Linked DNA regions of Caenorhabditis elegans. The protein of the gene in region 1 interacts with the protein of each later gene in a pairwise test. Each region holds a gene or a part of one and is shown on either strand. Other genes may lie near its edges. The genes, in order: cat-4, try-14, C26C6.8 and cla-1.

Region 1 (3,822 bases):
CTCTTATCTTATTTATAGTTCAACCTAATAAATTGCGGGGAACTTCCTCTACGAGTGTTACGGTATTATTTGGCAGTACTTTTCAGTAACAACTTTCGATTTTAATTTTTTACTTTTCAAGAATATTGACAATAGCTCAGTTTTTTCAAATAGTTCTTTTTGATTCTCAATCTCTAACTCTGAAGAACCAAAAGTTATGAGAGACTTCGAATAACCCAAAAAATCCTGATCATAACAAAATAGTATTTCAAGTTTTCTTGTTTTCATTCGTCATCACCTCCTCCCAACTTGTACCCAATCAGCCCAGAAATCGCAAATATAAGAAACGATATCTGATGAAAAAGAACTAGAAAACTAGGAAAACATTTACAAGTTCGAAACGCCTCTTCCCTCATCTTCAGCTGATTTTGGAACCGTTCTCGTCATTTCGTGTGAATGTCATCAAAACACATCGAGTCTGCCGGGAAAAAAAAGGCGTGGGTTTGATCTTTCTACTAGCTTTAACTGTTTCAACGAAATTCTTATGTAGGTAGTTAAGTAGAAGAATAGAAGAAAGTGAGTGTACTTCTTTAGACCCCTCAATTCTTTTCATTTTCTTTCTTTACTTTCTCATTTTTCCACCTGATGATGACTTAGAAAGGAAAGTAGTTAAAATTTTACAATTTTTGAAAACCGAAACTGTTGAATGAAATCGTTCCCAAATTTGAGGTCCTACTTTTTTGACATGGTGAAATATTAGAAATTGTATTTTATTTTTGTGGCTGTTGGCAGTATATATGAGAGTTTAACACGGTTTCTGTGTTGTACTAAACTCATTAGTAATTTTTTTGCCAGAATCTAGTTTATTTTTCAGATTGGTTGTTTCGATGAGTAATATTATTAGGTGTGATGAGTTTTAAAAATAGGAGGAGTATATTCTACCACATGTGATCCTATTATTGTTTTTAAATAACTTCCCAGGAGGACCATTTGATGAATTTCGTGAGAAATATATGTGAAGTTTGATAAATTCCAAATTTCGTTTTGAATATAAAGTTTCTCAATTTTTTCGATTGTAGTGCATGAAAGAGTAACTTGTAGATATTAATCTGCCAAAGTTTCGGCAACAAAACTGATAGTGAACTAGAAGTCCACGTGAGTGAAGGTCTATATCATTCCTCGCTGATTTACGATCCTTCTCTCTGTATCTCCTCAGACCAGTCCACTTTTTCTTTTCTTGTTGCGCCTATCCACCTAATCAATCGGTTTCATTTTCTTTTTACATGTTCCTTTTGTTTGCATAAATAAATTATTCTTCCTCCACATTTTCCTGAATACCTAGAAGTGCTGCCATGAAGGAATGGCGGAAAACGATTGATGTATGGGACGACGTCTTCCGTTTCTTTTTCGATTTTTTGCTATTTTCTTATTCTTTTTTTCTCATTTTTTCACATAAGTGGGAAAAGATGATGAAGTCTATCCATTCGACTAGATTGATTTCCTTCTGTCCCTTCATTTTGCCTATTTTTTCCCAGAATACCTTTCATAATACATGACGTGTTGTACCTTTTTTTTTCGTAATTTCTTCTTTCTTGCTTGGACATTGCACATATTCGGTTTCATCCGGCAATTATTTGAATGTCTATCCTTTCTTTTTGTCGCCTACGCTTTCTCAGCTTTCTTAAGATTTACCCACGGCTCATTTTCAATATCACCTTATTTCACTCACTTACTCAATCAATGTTTTCAGGCTTTACCCACTCTATCAACATCATAATATCAAAATGTCCAGAATTGAGAACGAAAGCGGATTTTTGTCATCTGACGCCGCAAGTGTTGGATCCGAAGACGATAAAGTTGAGATGAAGAAAAGAAACGGAACGATTCCAAAGGAAGATCATTTGAAATCAATGTGCAATGCCTATCAGAGCATCATTCAACATGTCGGTGAGTTCATGTGATTCTTTGGTTCGGAAAGTATTAGTCGATCAACAACAAATTTAAAATAAGCTGTTTAAGAATAGATTATAGAGTTCTGAAAACGTACTGTCAACTGTTTACGTCAGCAGAATTAGGAAAACTTTGGTTTCGATAAACATTTCAACACACTTTTTGATTCATTCTAGAGATTATAATGTTTTAGCATTTATTCATTATCAGTGACTCAAAGAATATTGATAAATATTTTCCCAAATATAAATTTGACCAAGATGTTTTGAAAGTCGATGATCTATAACTGATAGTTGTTATTGTCTGGAAGGAAGTTCAGTTCAATATATTCCACTCTCAAATCAAAAATCAAGATCGAAAATTGTTTTAATTTAAAGACTCATGACAAATTGTAATCTATTACATCACGCAATCAAGGTACCCTAGCACATCATCAGGAACTTGTGATTTCAATTGATATATCTATAACATAAATCAGAAAAAAATAGGTTGTGTCCGTTGATTATAAGGGAAAAAATGAAAACAAAATACATTTTCCCACGTTGACTGATTTTGGGAATTCAGGAGAAGACATCAATCGTCAGGGACTTCTGAAAACTCCAGAACGTGCTGCCAAAGCAATGATGGCATTCACAAAGGGATACGATGATCAACTTGATGGTCAGTTATAGCAATACAACGTTAAAGCTCAAAGTTTCATTTTTCAGAGCTCCTCAACGAGGCAGTATTCGACGAGGATCACGATGAGATGGTTATTGTGAAAGATATTGAAATGTTCTCCCTTTGTGAGCATCATTTAGTTCCATTTATGGGAAAAGTTCATATTGGATACATTCCAAACAAGAAGGTTCTTGGTCTGTCCAAGTTGGCAAGAATAGTCGAGATGTTCAGCAGAAGACTTCAAGGTAAATTGAGAAATTACATTTTTGATTGGAACCTAACCTAAACGTTCAAATATTTCAGTCCAAGAACGTCTTACAAAGCAAATTGCCACCGCAATGGTTCAAGCTGTACAACCATCCGGAGTTGCAGTTGTTATTGAAGCTAGTCACATGTGTATGGTAATGAGAGGAGTTCAAAAGATCAATGCTTCCACCACAACATCCTGCATGTTGGGAGTATTCCGTGACGATCCAAAGACTCGCGAAGAATTCCTTAATCTTATCAACAAACGCTAAAAATTCTAGTCATTTCCTTTTTTACTTGTTTTTTTGGGTTTTAACTGTTACTAACTTTTCATAACTTTCCATGTGAATCTACTAACATCTTATGCTTCAGCTTTTTAAATTCATACAACATGTTCATTGCCTGGATACTGTAATATGCTTTTATTGTACATGCAATAAATTACTAAATACCAGATAAATAAAAACAAAAACAATTAACTGGGAAATGAAAGTGATAAAGCTAGCCCAGAAGCACAAACTAAAAAATTAGGAATGAAGGACCAGTGAATTGGGGAAGTTTACAGAAGAAGCGTGAAATAAAAGCCACCGTAATTAGTCAAACAATCACAATCATACACAAGAAATAAACCAGATTGAAAATTAAATAAATATTTTACAAAGAAAAGTCCTATTCAAACATAATGTCATTAAGCGACTCGAGCTCCAAATTACGGCAACTTTCCATGTTTTTCACATTTTGTTGATAAAACATGTAATCTTTTGTGACATATCTGAAAATAGTACATTATAGTTGAAATTTCAGTAATTTATTCTTACCCGTATTTTAAAGGGTCATGAGGTGTGATACCCATTCCAGTGACGTGTTCTCGTAAGTTGGCTTTAAAGTTTTCGTGTACTTGACGGAACAACGCCTCGATCTGATCTCTTGGCATGATGCCAACCAGTCCATTGTGGAATTTCAGCATATGGCGACAAATTTGTTGAA
Region 2 (4,356 bases), on another chromosome or scaffold:
TCACAATGGAAACTTGAACACAAATGTTGTCAGGTGAATACTTTCTATTTAATAAAACCAATTTCAATTTCACAATTTCAGGTTCGATAATCTTCCCAGTAAGCAACTTCTGACACTTTCGCTGCAAGCTCCCGACTCATGGATAGTGGAAGCCGTTTCTGCCAAGTATGATTTGGATAACATCAAGATGGAACAAGCCAACGGAGATGTCACTGCCGAGTTTGCACTCCAACACTTACTTCTCGATGGACAGTGTTTCGACGAAGTTAGTGGTCAACCACCACGCGGTCTGCAGTTCACTTTGGGAACGGACAAGAACCCTAAACAATTTGATACAATCGTTATGGCTAATTTAGGATATTTCCAACTTAAAGCAAATCCTGGTGCTTGGAAACTAGAGATCCGTGATGGAAAATCTAGTGAGATTTACAAGATTGGATCGCATGTTGGAGCGGAGAAGATTGGGGAGGATGTGCTTCAAGTTGTTATTGACTCATTCACTGGTAAATCAGTAAGAGTTCGTGTTGAAAAACGTGAAGGCATGGAGGAGAGAAATCTTCTTTCCGACGATGAAGAAGGTGTTTGGAGCAGTCTTAGCAAGTAAGCATTTTGTTTAAACTCTTTTGAAATAATCTCATAATGTTATTTTCAGCTTGGTGAGCAGCAAAGAAAAAACCCAGGAAGTGATCAATGTATTTTCTCTCGCATCCGGTCACTTGTACGAACGGTTCATGAGAATCATGATTGTCTCGGTCATGAAGAACACGAAGCATCCAGTTAAATTCTGGCTTCTCAAGAACTACCTGTCGCCACAATTCAAAGAGACACTTCCAACTCTTGCCAAGCACTATGGTTTCGAGTATGAACTGATCGAGTACAAGTGGCCAAGGTGGCTTCACCAGCAGAAGGAGAAACAACGTATTATGTGGGGATTCAAGATTCTTTTCCTTGATGTACTCTTCCCACTTGATGTTCAAAAGGTGATCTTTGTGGACGCTGACCAGGTGGTGCGTGCTGATTTGATGGAGCTGATGAAGTTTGATCTTGGAAATGCGCCATACGGATATGTGCCATTCTGTGAAAGTAGAAAGGAGATGGACGGATTCCGATTCTGGAAGCAAGGATATTGGGCGAACCATCTCGCTGGGAGAAGATATCACATTAGTGCTCTCTACGTTATTGATCTTCAAAAGTTCCGTCAAATCGCTGCCGGAGATCGTCTTCGTGGACAATATCAAGGACTATCTGGCGATCCAAACAGTCTGGCTAACTTGGATCAAGACTTGCCAAATAACATGATCCATCAGGTTAAGATCAAATCGCTTCCACAAGAGTGGCTTTGGTGTGAGACTTGGTGCGATGATGGAAGCAAGAAGAATGCAAAGACTATTGACTTGGTAAGTTGATTGAACACAACTGAAATGCTGTGCCATTGATCTGTTTTAAATTTCCGTGAACAATTAACAATTTTCAGTGCAACAACCCGCTCACAAAAGAGCCAAAGCTCGACTCAGCCGCCAGAATTATTGGAGAATGGAAAACGTATGATGACGAAATCCGGGAAGTCATTTCTGGACATTCTTCTGATAACCCTTCGGATAATGTCATTTCTGAAAATGATGACTCTCACACGGAACTTTAAATTAATCTTTTCATATGCCAAGTTTACCCGTTATTTATTGAAAATGTTTCCAATCACCATTATGATATTCAAAACTCTGGGTATATTTTTTTCCAAATCAGTCGATTCGCTTTTTCTGCTATTTATTTTTTAGCTTTTGACTATGAGAGCTTTCAAAATTTCATTTTCAAATATTGTCAAACTTGTGATGAATCTTTGAAACATTTTTTTGCCTCTCTCTATCCAATAAATATTTTCTTTTTCTTGATGTGTGGGTGTATTAAAGAATGCATTTGCTTGATTTTTCTGAAAGCGGATATTACAACAATATCAATGCGATGCTCGTCGGGTCAAATCCTCATTCGAATCATTTGATCGAAAGAAGATGTTTCGAGCGGTCATCGTTTCCTCTCTACTTGCATTCGTGTTTTCAATGTACATTGCGGACCCGGCAAAATGGGAACGCCATCAGTACTTGGTGAAGGTAAGACTTGCTCAACTCGCTTCGAATTTTATGTTTTATGTTCAGGTACTCACTAAGGATACCAAACTGAAGAATATCTCAACTTGCACGGGAACTCTTTTGTCTCCATCCGTTGTGCTAACCAGCTCGAAATGTTTCCCAGACACCAGAAAGTATGGTTTCAAATTTTTAAATATTCCCGTAGCAAAATAAGAAGCTTACGAACGAACATAGCGCATTATAGTCTCTTACATTTTACACTTTTTCTGCTCTGAATTCGACTACGCAAAAGATTCGTGAATTGGCTTGTTGTGCGGAATGTGCTGACAATTTTCGATTGAAAACTTAGACGAAACTATGCCAGAGATAGTTTATAGAAATATATGTATAGCAACTGTTGGTTTAGAAGAAACGCTGAAATGGATTTTTATTTGAAGGCAATTTAATATTTATTTAGGAACCTTATTGCACAAGCTATTATCAAAAAGAAGGATTCCTCTGCTACCATGAACAAAGCAATGCTTGCTGTGAAAATTGACGGCGACTTGGCTCTGATGAAAATCGATGCGGTTAATGAAGATCATGTAAAAAAGACTCTAGTATTTGCAACTCTTATTAGAGAAATTATTTTTATAGTTTTGCGATAAGGAGCCACACCCACCAAGAGTTGCACGGCTCAACTTCAAACCAAGCTTGACTGATGCTACTTACCGTACAATTGTGCCAAGGGATCTTCAAGATTCCAAATGTAGAGTGATTGGATTTGAAACTACGGAAGATGGTTCGTAACTACAAAACTATGTAGCTACTAAATAAGTTATTATATTTTTAGTGGAAGACTTCGCTACTTCACACAAAGTCCAAGTATTGGATCTTGATGTTCACGCTGACACAGAAAATCTCATGTTCTCAGAAGTTAACAGTAACTCTACAGGTCGTGTTTGCTGGGTAAGCGTTTTTGTTGTTTTTTGGAAATACACACTTTCAAACTTTGCATTACTTAGTTTTTATAAAAAGTAATTGTTCAAATTCAGGATGATATAGGAGCACCACTGGAATGTGTTCTGGATGTAGAAAACAATAAATATGTTCAAGTAGGAATTGTTTCTGGTCTCTACGGGCGTGAGGTAGGCTTATCGCTTATTTTGTCTTTAAACTTATGATTTTTATAGATGGACAAGGAAGACAACAGCACAATGGTGGTTGTCAACTGCTCAGAAGTTCAGGTAAAATCAACGAGCAATTATTCTGAATACATTACGTAATAGAAATTCTTTATAAAAAACCGCATTTTGTAGTGTTGAGAATCTTATCAGACAACAAAATACGCCGGTGATTGATTTCTCATCTTTTGGACTTTCGGGAGGAAATATGAGATTAAAAGAAACGGGGGGCAAGGGGCAAAGTAAATAATCTTCTCCATTATGTGGATTTCCAATATTATCAATTTCCAGACCATGCAATTTGTTGTCTTTAGCGACAATACATTTGTCCATGCTATTGAGAATGTGGACAAGGCTAGCGTTTTTGAAGCACAGGACAAATGCTTCTAATTTAAATTCCACTTTTTCATTCTTCATTCCCTTTGAAATAAATGTTTTTATGATGCAATAAACACTTGTTGGTCCCTTATAACGTATTGATTTTCGTGTGCACATTTTGTGTTTGCTCTGTACTTCTATTCTTACGTTTGCATCTTTCATTCTATCCTTTGGTTTCAATTAAAATTGTTGCAAAAACCTAAATGAACATCGGTCTTTTTCAAGAATCTTTTAGTGTAATAATTGTGTTTGAAAATCAATCAGATGTTTGTTGCAGAAAAAATGAAAAAGAAACATTCTATTTTTTTGAAACAACGAACTTCTCATTACTTCGAATGTTTTATATTTCGGTACTTGTGTAGTACATACCTAGCCCAAAAATGTTAACCATTTTGAAAATGTGTCCGTGACCCTTTGTGTTCATATTATCCTCGGGATCAGTGTTTTTTGAGCATGGAAATACAAATCAATTTCAGTTTTTAATTAAATAATTGTTTTATAAAGAAATGAACGGAAAATGTATTGCAAAATGTTTTTGAACCTGGTATACTTCACAATTACCAAAATTTTACCCAAAAAACTAAGTAAACGTAGAAAATAAATAAGTGTTTAGCTTATTCTAATTAATGAGTTGTCTGTTCAAAAATTCTTTGAAGCCGTGCGTTTTGATGTCTGCTCTTTTGAACTCTATGCTACAACTATACACGTTCTGTGTTGCCATAGAAAATGAA
Region 3 (4,558 bases), on another chromosome or scaffold:
ATTTAGTTAATTGTGTTTAAAAATTTCAATGTTGTGTAGTTTAACATTTCCTCACTCAACAGTGTTCAATATTTAAAAAAAATTTTGCAAGGAAAATTGGAAATATGCCAAAACTTCATCTGAAACAAAAGTTAAATGTTTAGTTTCTCTGTAAAAACGTAAAAATGACAAATATTGAAATAGTGAATTGAGACTTGAGAAGACTTTTAGATTTCAAAAAGATTTCAAGACTATTACACAAAAAAAAATCAGACAGAAACAAAAAACAAAAAAAAATTATTAAAAGATTGACACTGACATGTTTAAAAAGTCACAAAACATTTTCGAGTACGTAGTTACTCGAAAAAGAAAACTAAGATCTATATGACGTCATTTTGATCTGACACAGGTGACACATCTCATCCATCCCGTAGCTCTTCTCCCACAGAAACATTTTGTGGTGTGAAGTTACTAGATGCACACTTTACTACTTGAATGGAGGAGGTTAAATGATGAAAGAACAGAAGGATGCTCATTATGATTGTGATGTTTCAAATATTATAATTATTGTTTCACTTTTGCAAGTTCTATAAATTGATTGAAAAATTGACAAAACTCTGGATTCAGAAATTGCATTTTTCAAAATGTGTAAAATTTCAAAAATCGTGTTATAAATTTTAAAAAAGTCCAATGTTTCTGATAAAAAAATGTTTTAATTAGATGAAACACTGAAATTGTTCAGTTTTTGTCAGTGAACAAGAGAAATCACAGAAAAATTGTTCCGAAAGGGACTACTTTACTCCCTATTTGTCTTGAAATCTCTCAAAAATCAGTATCTTAGAAATTATAGTTAACCCACAAAAATACACTTTAAACCGTTCAAAATCTATTCATTATTTTTTCAAATAAGTTCAATATGTTATAGAACATCTTTGATATGAAGCATATAACAAACGTCATCATAAAACATCATATCACGTTCATAAAATCCTTTTCTTTGAGGAATTGTCTTGTTACAGATTGCACAACGGAAACAATCAATATGAAAGAGACGATTAAATGCAACAAGTCCTCGTTCAATTACTGGCAATGAGCATCCTGTAAAATTTGTTTTTTAAGTAATCGTAAGGGGCTCTAATCTTTCCTATATGTAGCTGAGTAATCAAAGTTCGTATAACCCGTGCAAAACCGAATTCACAAGCCATATCATTCAATTTTTAATTTCTACTAATCAGTACTTCGAAGAACTAAAAATACCTGTGCAAGATGGATGATTTGTTTGAATATGACATGCATAACATGATGGTTTCATTGGATCAATTGATGAACGGAAATAACGATTGTCCGAGATTTGAAGCTAAAATTGGATATTTTGAAATTTTGGAAGTGCTTTTTTCCGAACGCTTCCAAAACTAACTTTACAAAAAATGCATTGAATATGATCCCGATGCCACATTCGATTCAGAAAGAAGACAACTTTGTTCTAAAAATTACTTTTTTAAAGGAAATACACCAATTGTGGATTTACCTTTTCGACATCCTCCTCGGCGATTTTGGCTTTACATCCTGCACAATTGATAAACTCAATAGTCATTTTTCTAGTTTATTTGGAAATAAATTATTTTTTATTAAAATTGTATTCTTCGCCTCCGAATTTGTATTTAGTAAGCGGTTGCCACGTAACTGGTATTAAAATTTATTGGTTTTTAATTGAAAACTTCCAAACAAGATACAAAAGTTTATGCATCTCTGCATGGTAATCTCCAAAATACATAAAATATCACAGATTCCTTATTTCTAGGGCAAAATAAGCCATTATACTGAAGCCAAATAATACTGTCCGCCTTTCATGCCTTTCCCTCCCGAGACTCCATCTTTTTTTCCAATCAGATCCAATTTTCGGTGAACAAACAATAATTTGACATGCCTCTGTTGATTAACCGTGTTTTGTGAGCAATTCATTGGCTTTTCGTCGCACAAAAACAATGGGCATTAGGAGCATTTTTTGGAAAGTTGTATCTGGAAGAGGTGAGCACAGTTTGTCCCATTTTTTTTCTAATTTTAGCTGATTAAAAATAAAACCTCCAAAAATGAATTTCAGTGCCCGATAATGGTGGATGGGTTGACAGTATGCAAGTGGATCATTTTGATCCTTATACTCCAGGACAACTAACAAAAAACTTCACAGCAACTGTATAGTTTTCAGTTTTTCCAAATTACCCCAATTTCTAACCTCTCACTTTTAAGGTTGCTGACGAAATTAGTGTAACCCGTGGCACTACAGTTAAAGCAATTTATCGAGATGATCAATGGATTTATGTTGAGGTATCTGATGGAAGAAAAGGATTTGTTCCACAGACATATTGTAAATTGCTTTTGAATTCAAAACACGGTGAAAAGGTGAGCGTTTTAGATGTTCTAGAAAAGTTATTTTTAGTGCAAATCTTAAAGAATGCAACAACACGTGTAATTGTGGCATTTAATGATATTCATTTAAAACTACTGTATCCGGTCTCGACACGACCGAAATATGCGCAAAAGAATGTGCGCCTTGCGAATTACTGTAACCACACTCCTAATTATTTCCAATATTTCATAGATATTTCATAGTTTTGTCATTGAAAAATCGAAGAAAAGTGGTGAAAATCATTGTCACCTTTAGTGAGAACAACTTAGAAGCCACGTGATGTCAGAGAGTCCCATTTCGGTTTGATCTCCAAGAATTTCGGGAATGGAACCGTTGAGAAATCAAATCAAATACTTTTCAGAAAAAGGTGATCGGATCCAGCGCGACACTTGATCGCCGTTGGGAAAAATCAAATTTGCAGAGATTTATCGACAGTCTTCCTGTTCAAAAAGAAGAAGGAGAGGTTTTTAAAATGGTTTGTTTTGAATAAAGCTATTGAATATTCTTTTGATACTATCTGCAGGATGAGATATGCGAAGTTCAAATACTACAGTCATTTGATGGATCAGCTCCAGATGATATATCTGTGAAAGATGGAGAATCTGTCACAGTTTTGAATATATCAGATCCTGAGTGGACCTATATTCGAAATTCGGACAATCAATCTGGTTTTGTACCTTCTTCCCATGTTAAGATTCCACATGAAATATTGCAACAAGCTAGCCGTGTCATTAAAGAAAAATGGTATCGTAAGTTCGCAGTTTTCTGAAACGCTTAAAGGTGTACGGACTTATTCAGATGGGTCATGGGTGTTATTCTGTTTTTTTTTTCAGAATTAAAAGACTCAGAAGACGCGAAAATTTGTTATTTTTGCGCCAAAAATACAGTACCCGGTCTCGACACGATAACAATTTTGTTAAGTGTGAAAACGTGTGCGCCTTTAAAGACTACTGTAATGTAAATACAACTTTTCGTGCTCATAGTTTTTCTCACGATTAGTAAAATAAAATATATGTGTTTTGTGGTTTTTTAAAATAAATAAATACATTTTTTAACGGAGAATTATGAAAAATCTATGCAAATTCCTCAACAACGAAAGTTTGAAGCTACAGTACCCTTTAAAGGCGCACATCCGTTTACATTTGATAAAAAATATTGTCGTGTCGAGATTGAGTACCATATTTTTGGCGCAAAAATTGCAAAGTTTCGCGTATGGGTAATAAAAAATCAAAAGAATCGACTTTAAAATTGTTCACGAAATTCCCGAAAAAAGCAAAAGGGCCGTTGCAAGATAAAAAACTACTGCCATAAATGTTTTTCTCGTGCTTGCGTTTCAAAAGATTGCGAAATAAACTGATTATATTTTGGCTTGGCAAATTTATTTAATTTTTAGGGAAAATGAAAATCTTCTCGTAGTCGAACCTTTTTCTGGAAGATCACCTCTTGATCTAACAGTCCGACCAGGTGAATGGATAAAATGCACTGGAAGACCAGTAGATGATTGGTTGTGGGCCGTCCGAATCGCTGACGAGAAGCAGGGATTTATCCCGAATAAAGTTGTAATTTTGGCGACAGATCTTTGATGTTTGATTTATCGTTTGAATTTGTTTCATACCCGACCCATTAATAAAAATATTTTAAAAAAAGGTGAATTGGAAATGATAATAAATTTAGTGACTGAAGTGGGTAGTAAGAAATACAATCAAGAAACGAATAAATTATTGAAAATAAATAGGATTTAAGGTATTCGTGGGAATCATGAGAGGATAAAAACAGAAGGAGCACACATAACTGGTTATCAGAAAATACATTAAAAGAAAAAGAGATTCTTGTTTTCTGGATTGAACGGGGAGGCGAGATAGGGTAGGATAATTATGATAAAGTTATAAAAATTGCATAAAATTTTAACAAGAGATCCACTGATTTCATTGAGTTGGTCGGTCCATTACAAGACTACACGTACTCTTCAACAATTCATCGCGAAGTTTCCACAAAGCTTTTGTAACATCCTCTTCGCGAGCTACAGGTCGTCCGTTTTCAATTCTCTGAAATTATGAAATATATTTTACAAGAAGAAATAGTCGAACTAACCCTTATCCAATGAGATGGAGCGCGGGCATTTCCAGCTGGTTGGGTATTCCTGGCAGTTGCTCCTAGAGTTCGTTCCCATCG
Region 4 (5,038 bases), on another chromosome or scaffold:
GGCAGAGAAGATGGATGAAGAGATTCTCGATGAACAGTCTAAACCAAAATCTACATTTGGACTAAAGAATTTCTTCGGAAAAGCTACCCAGTCGGTCATGCATGCTACAGATTCTGTGATAAAGAACGTTCAAAATCAATCAAAGCAATCTCTTAGTGGTCTAACCCAAGAAGAGCTAGATAACATTGCACAGGCTACTGAAAGTGCTCAGCAAGAATCTAAGCAAGAGCTCACACAAGATGAAATAGATCACATTGCCAGAATTAATGCTATGGCAGCGGAAGACTTTGAACAACCCGCAGTTAATATGAATCAAGGATTGTCACAAGCAGAGAAAGATCATATCGCTCGTATTGAGGCTATGGCAGCGGATGATTCACAATCTAAAATCATTGTTCCTCCTCCTTCAATTATCCAAAAAGATATTGAACTTTCAATGGAAGAAATGGATCACATTGCTCGAATAGCTGCAATGGCTGACGAGGACTTTACACATCCTGTTAAAGGAGCTGTCGCGCCAATTTATGATGAAAATTATAGTAGGGACGATGGTGCAATTGATAGATTCCCAGCTTCGACAGCTACTCCAGTGTTTGCGCAGCCGTCTGAAATTGAACTTTCTGAAGAAGAGCGTGAACATATTTCCAGAATCGCTGCAATGGCTGAAGAAGATTTTAATACACCATACGTTTCAACACATCCAACACAGCAAATTGAAATAGAACTAACGGAAGAAGAAAAAGAACATATTGCAAGGATCGAGGCGATGGCTTCCGAAGATTTAAATGCGCCATCTCCCTTTATCCAACAAGAGCAACGAGTTGCGACAATGCCAGTGCCAATTAATTATCATGTTGAAGAACCAACTCTATCGCAAGAAGAAATTGATCACATTGCAAGAATAACAGCTATGGCTACTGAAGATAACACTGATCTACAAACTCTACCAACTCCTCAAGTTAAACAAAATGAACCGGAGCTCTCCCAAGAAGAAATAGATCACATTACTCGAATAGCTGCAATGGCAAATGAAGACTTTGGAATGTATCCTTCAATTGTTTCTGAACATCCTGCTCCAGTTGAATCTGAACTTACTCAAGAAGAACTTGATCATATCGCTAAGATCACAGGAATGGCATCTATGGACATCAGTACTCTACCACCTCCAACAGGAAAACCATCCGAGACATCACTTACTCAGGAAGAACTTGATCATATTGCTCGCATAGCTGAAATGGCATCAGCAGAATATGATGTTCCTGTAAAAATATTCGAACCACCAGAACTAACTCAAGAGGAACTTGATCATATAGCAAAGATTACTGCAATGGCTGCACAAGATGTCCAACTTCCTGCCACCCAAAGATCGATTACTCATAAGGTTTCGTTGACTCCACCTCCTCCTCCTCCTTCTAAACACTTTGAGCAAGATCTCACTCAAGAAGAGCTTGACCATATTGCAAGAATTGCTGAGATGGCTGATATGGATTATAACACTCCATTCACTGCTGAACCAGTTCAAGATGAAGAAGAAGAACCAATAACAGAAAGTGGATCAGATGCAACATCAGGTGCTGATATATTCGATGAACAAGAAGATGCAAGTTCAGGCGCCAGCGGCTCCTTCGATAACAACAATGCTCAAGTGCTAACGAGCGGCTTCTCTCCAGATCGAGTTACATCTCCTGCTGCACTTGACACAACTGAAGAGCCCCAGGGTCCTATTATGGCTCAGAAGGTGAGAAATAGACGTTGTTTTTTGTGTGCGAGCTGTTTCTATTTTCCCAGCCATAAATACTTTTTTTTCACATTCACCATGTTGCTATGCATGCCGTGGCAATGCAACGGTGTCATTAAATATTATGCAGATAGCGTGACAACTCCCAGATTTTCAACTTTTCCCCTTTTTTGACTACTAAACACTACTATCCAACAGGATTTTATGATTTTCAGACTGTGTCTCCGACGCCATCAGCAGATTCGATGGCGTCACGGAAGAGTAGTGAATACGACATTAGAAGTATATCAGAGATTAGGCAAGAGTCCGAGTCGGATATCGGAAAGTGGTATGCTGAATTTTTAATAAACCTTTTTTTTTCTTTTTGAAAATTAGTGTTTCAATTTTACTATTTTGTTCAGGTATGAGGAGCAACTCAGTTTCATGCGACAATCGATCCACGATGAGGAAGAAGATGTGGGGCGTAAGTGGTTTAAAAAAAAAACTTTTATGCGCTTCAGTGTAGGTACACAGAGGCCTACTCACCTACCTAGTATAATTTGCTAAAACAAATTCTACTCGACAAGAGAATTTCTACAGCAAAGAAAGCAAAAGCTAGATAAAATGTTATCAAAAATATTTTACAAGAGTGTTTAATTAATTCTTAATTCTACAAAAAACAATTCTAATTGCAATCAGCAGACTTTTATCTGAACTTTCAAAATTTTCCACTATCCACTCTGTTTTTGACTCAGAAAAACGTCCAAATAAAAGAAATGACTGAATATAATTTCATTAGACCTATGTAATACAAATATTACATTTTTCTTCTCTATTTACTTTTTTATTTTTGAAATTTCAGATGAAATTCGAACTGACGTTGAAGAGTTCCCATTGGAGTATGTTGAGGATCAACTTCACTTCCTTGAAGGTGAGTTTTCTGTCAAAAATGAAAAATTCATAGCACAAATCAAAAAGCGAGACGAAGAGACCAAATCTCAAAGCAAAAAAACATATATTTGCAGGTATTGACGTAGAGAGCCAACACCATGAGCCCACCACTTCTTCTGCCTTCTTTGGCACCGGAAGATCGATTGGTGAAGGGGAAAAGAGAAAATATGGTGACGACGCCGTGGAGCAGCAAAAACTGGAGAACTACGAAGAGGAGGAGAAGACGAAGAGTAGTAGTCGTGAGGCTTTTGATGATGGATTTGAGACGCAGAGAGAAGAGTCGTTGAGGGCGCAGCAGACACCCATCGATTCACTGCCGGGTAGTCGTATGTTGAAGCGACCCAATTTCGGCTTCCTTTCTAATATTGCAAATGATGCTATTAATAAGGTAAGTAATTGAATATTCACTATGACCTATCAGACTTCACCGTTTGAAAAAAGACCATGAACAAAAAACTAAAACTCAAAAGACTACGTTTTTGAAACTGTAAATGCGCGAAGCTATTCAAAATATTTTCAGTCACTATAGAAATTGTTATTTTTTTTAGAGCTGTTTGACTGAAAATAAATAATTGTCCAAAATTGTTTGACAGGTTTTATTATGATATTTGGTATGGATATTTGAAATGATTTTCCAATAATGTAGAACATATTATGTTGCAACAATTTGTTTTTTTCTGTTATATTCAAATTTACTGTTTTCTAGAAAAAAAACATAGAAATTATGTTAACATCTAAGAAACTCTTCAATCAGCATTTTTTCTTAAAAATAACTAACTTTTACATGCAACATTTTGAGAATATGAGTAGTTTTTTATACACACAAATTTATATATTACATGAATTCATTTTCAAAAAAAAAAAACCATTTCAATGTCAGTATACAAAACCAATTTCGCAGTGTCTTTGACTCTCCAAGAGCAGCTACGATGGGCTCGTTACTCACGGAATTCGACTTTCCGGTCTTTCCAAAATAACGCAAATGTGTTGTTCCCTCATCCAACAAACACTATACAATCATTTGTTCTTCCTTTTTTCTTTTTTTTTTTTAGCGGTCACACATACACCATTCCAAAAGATGTACCCATCGTTTTGGTCTATTTTCCACTTTTTTATGTTTTGTTGTATGTGTCGCTTATGCATAAATGTAGGGTGTGCAACAAAAAGAAACACTTTAGGATTCGGCTCGGGGGACCCCCATGCCTCATTAATTTTTTGCGAGAAGACATGCGTGTGCTCTTCTCTCCTTGTCACTTTCGATAATTGCTCTTTTTGCAGGCAAAGGAAGCGGGTTCGCAAATCCAAGCCGCCGTACCCATCAAGGTGAGTGAACTTTTTTCTTTTTATTCTCTTTCCGTAGGGCTTCCGACCCAATTCAATTATGGTAACACGATTTTGATCTAGATCTCATGACTAAACGCTCACGAGTTTTTCACTTGATTGATTACTTTTTTTTGAGAAACTGCTTTTGGTATTAATATTATAAACAAACAATTAACTAATTCACAAAACGGCTAATGTTTTTAAACATTACTTCTGTAAATTAATTTTTTTGAAATAAATTAAATAACCTCAAAATAATAAAAACTTTTCAGCCATCCTCTTCATCATCAAATATTGTCAACAACAATGTCTTCTCTAGCAGGTAATTGATATTTTGTCAAGTCAACTATAAAAAAAACAATTTCAGCAAATCCTCAACCTCCCTAGGCACCAGTGCTCCAACCAAATCTATTCCGTAAGTAACATAAAACATTCCCAGTATATCAGATTACTCCCCGCACGTACACTTTTCTACCTCCCCTCTTCTTTTTTCTTTTGATTTTCATTTCCTAAATGGTTAATTTTGAAATTACAGCTCTCCACAAATCGGTATTCCGATGGATGGTCTTTCCGAAGAAGAACGTCGACAAATCATGTCAGTTATGGCTGCAGCCGACTTTGACGATTCTGTTAATAATGTAAAACCAAGCACAAGTGGTTCATCAAATATTCCAGCAGGAATGGAGGATCTTTCGGAAGCAGAAAGAGAAAAGATCATGTCAGTTATGGCAAATGCAGAAATGGAGATGGGCGCACGTTTCCCTCCTCCTTCAAGTCAAATTCCAACAAGATCTCCCAGTGTTATGAGTTCAAGTATAATGTCCGAATTACCACCTGGACTCGATGATTTGTCAGATGATGAAAGAATGAAAATTATGGCAGTTATGGCAGAAGCTGATATGCAGAATGTGCGAAAACCCATTGCAAGAGGCCCACCACCAATGCCACCAAGGTTAGTTAGCCGACAATGAGACACCAAAATTTTAAGATTATGAAACACAATGAATGCTTCAAATTTCACTGAAATTATTTCTGGGAATTCAAAAA

Evidence for each region.
Region 2: the proteins of cat-4 (region 1) and try-14 interact in a two-hybrid assay, tested with the Caenorhabditis elegans proteins (one large-scale study listed by BioGRID).
Region 3: the proteins of cat-4 (region 1) and C26C6.8 interact in a two-hybrid assay, tested with the Caenorhabditis elegans proteins (one large-scale study listed by BioGRID).
Region 4: the proteins of cat-4 (region 1) and cla-1 interact in a two-hybrid assay, tested with the Caenorhabditis elegans proteins (one large-scale study listed by BioGRID).

What each region holds. Positions count from the first base shown.
Region 1 is NC_003283.11:10,563,151-10,566,972, forward strand, and holds cat-4 (GTP cyclohydrolase 1), read left to right. Parts: upstream 1-1,729; 5' UTR 1,730-1,763; coding exon 1,764-1,926; intron 1,927-2,493; coding exon 2,494-2,589; intron 2,590-2,636; coding exon 2,637-2,834; intron 2,835-2,892; coding exon 2,893-3,107; 3' UTR 3,108-3,289; downstream 3,290-3,822. Other genes in the region: vps-54 (Vacuolar protein sorting-associated protein 54), read right to left, coding at 3,505-3,607, 3,654-3,822. UniProt on the Caenorhabditis elegans protein: Involved in serotonin and dopamine biosynthesis that affects movement, mating behavior, foraging behavior, and cell migration.
Region 2 is NC_003284.9:7,493,215-7,497,570, reverse strand, and holds try-14 (Peptidase S1 domain-containing protein), read left to right. Parts: upstream 1-1,979; 5' UTR 1,980-2,006; coding exon 2,007-2,105; intron 2,106-2,150; coding exon 2,151-2,257; intron 2,258-2,541; coding exon 2,542-2,668; intron 2,669-2,720; coding exon 2,721-2,865; intron 2,866-2,916; coding exon 2,917-3,032; intron 3,033-3,118; coding exon 3,119-3,211; intron 3,212-3,256; coding exon 3,257-3,310; intron 3,311-3,538; coding exon 3,539-3,637; 3' UTR 3,638-3,847; downstream 3,848-4,356. Other genes in the region: uggt-1 (UDP-Glucose Glycoprotein glucosylTransferase), read left to right, coding at 1-33, 82-600, 653-1,397, 1,475-1,642.
Region 3 is NC_003279.8:7,502,987-7,507,544, reverse strand, and holds C26C6.8 (SH3 domain-containing protein), read left to right. Parts: upstream 1-1,902; 5' UTR 1,903-1,964; coding exon 1,965-2,007; intron 2,008-2,080; coding exon 2,081-2,172; intron 2,173-2,226; coding exon 2,227-2,379; intron 2,380-2,747; coding exon 2,748-2,861; intron 2,862-2,909; coding exon 2,910-3,130; intron 3,131-3,779; coding exon 3,780-3,969; 3' UTR 3,970-4,022; downstream 4,023-4,558. Other genes in the region: C26C6.6 (LIM zinc-binding domain-containing protein), read right to left, coding at 899-1,077, 1,237-1,336, 1,397-1,462, 1,508-1,573; pbrm-1 (Bromo domain-containing protein), read right to left, coding at 4,312-4,431, 4,478-4,558.
Region 4 is NC_003282.8:7,608,697-7,613,734, forward strand, and holds the start of cla-1 (Protein clarinet), read left to right. Parts: upstream 1-1,983; coding exon 1,984-2,066; intron 2,067-2,139; coding exon 2,140-2,201; intron 2,202-2,579; coding exon 2,580-2,648; intron 2,649-2,742; coding exon 2,743-3,056; intron 3,057-3,946; coding exon 3,947-3,991; intron 3,992-4,263; coding exon 4,264-4,313; intron 4,314-4,358; coding exon 4,359-4,406; intron 4,407-4,526; coding exon 4,527-4,943; intron 4,944-5,038. UniProt on the Caenorhabditis elegans protein: Required for synapse development in the active zone of presynaptic terminals of specific neurons including serotonergic NSM neurons.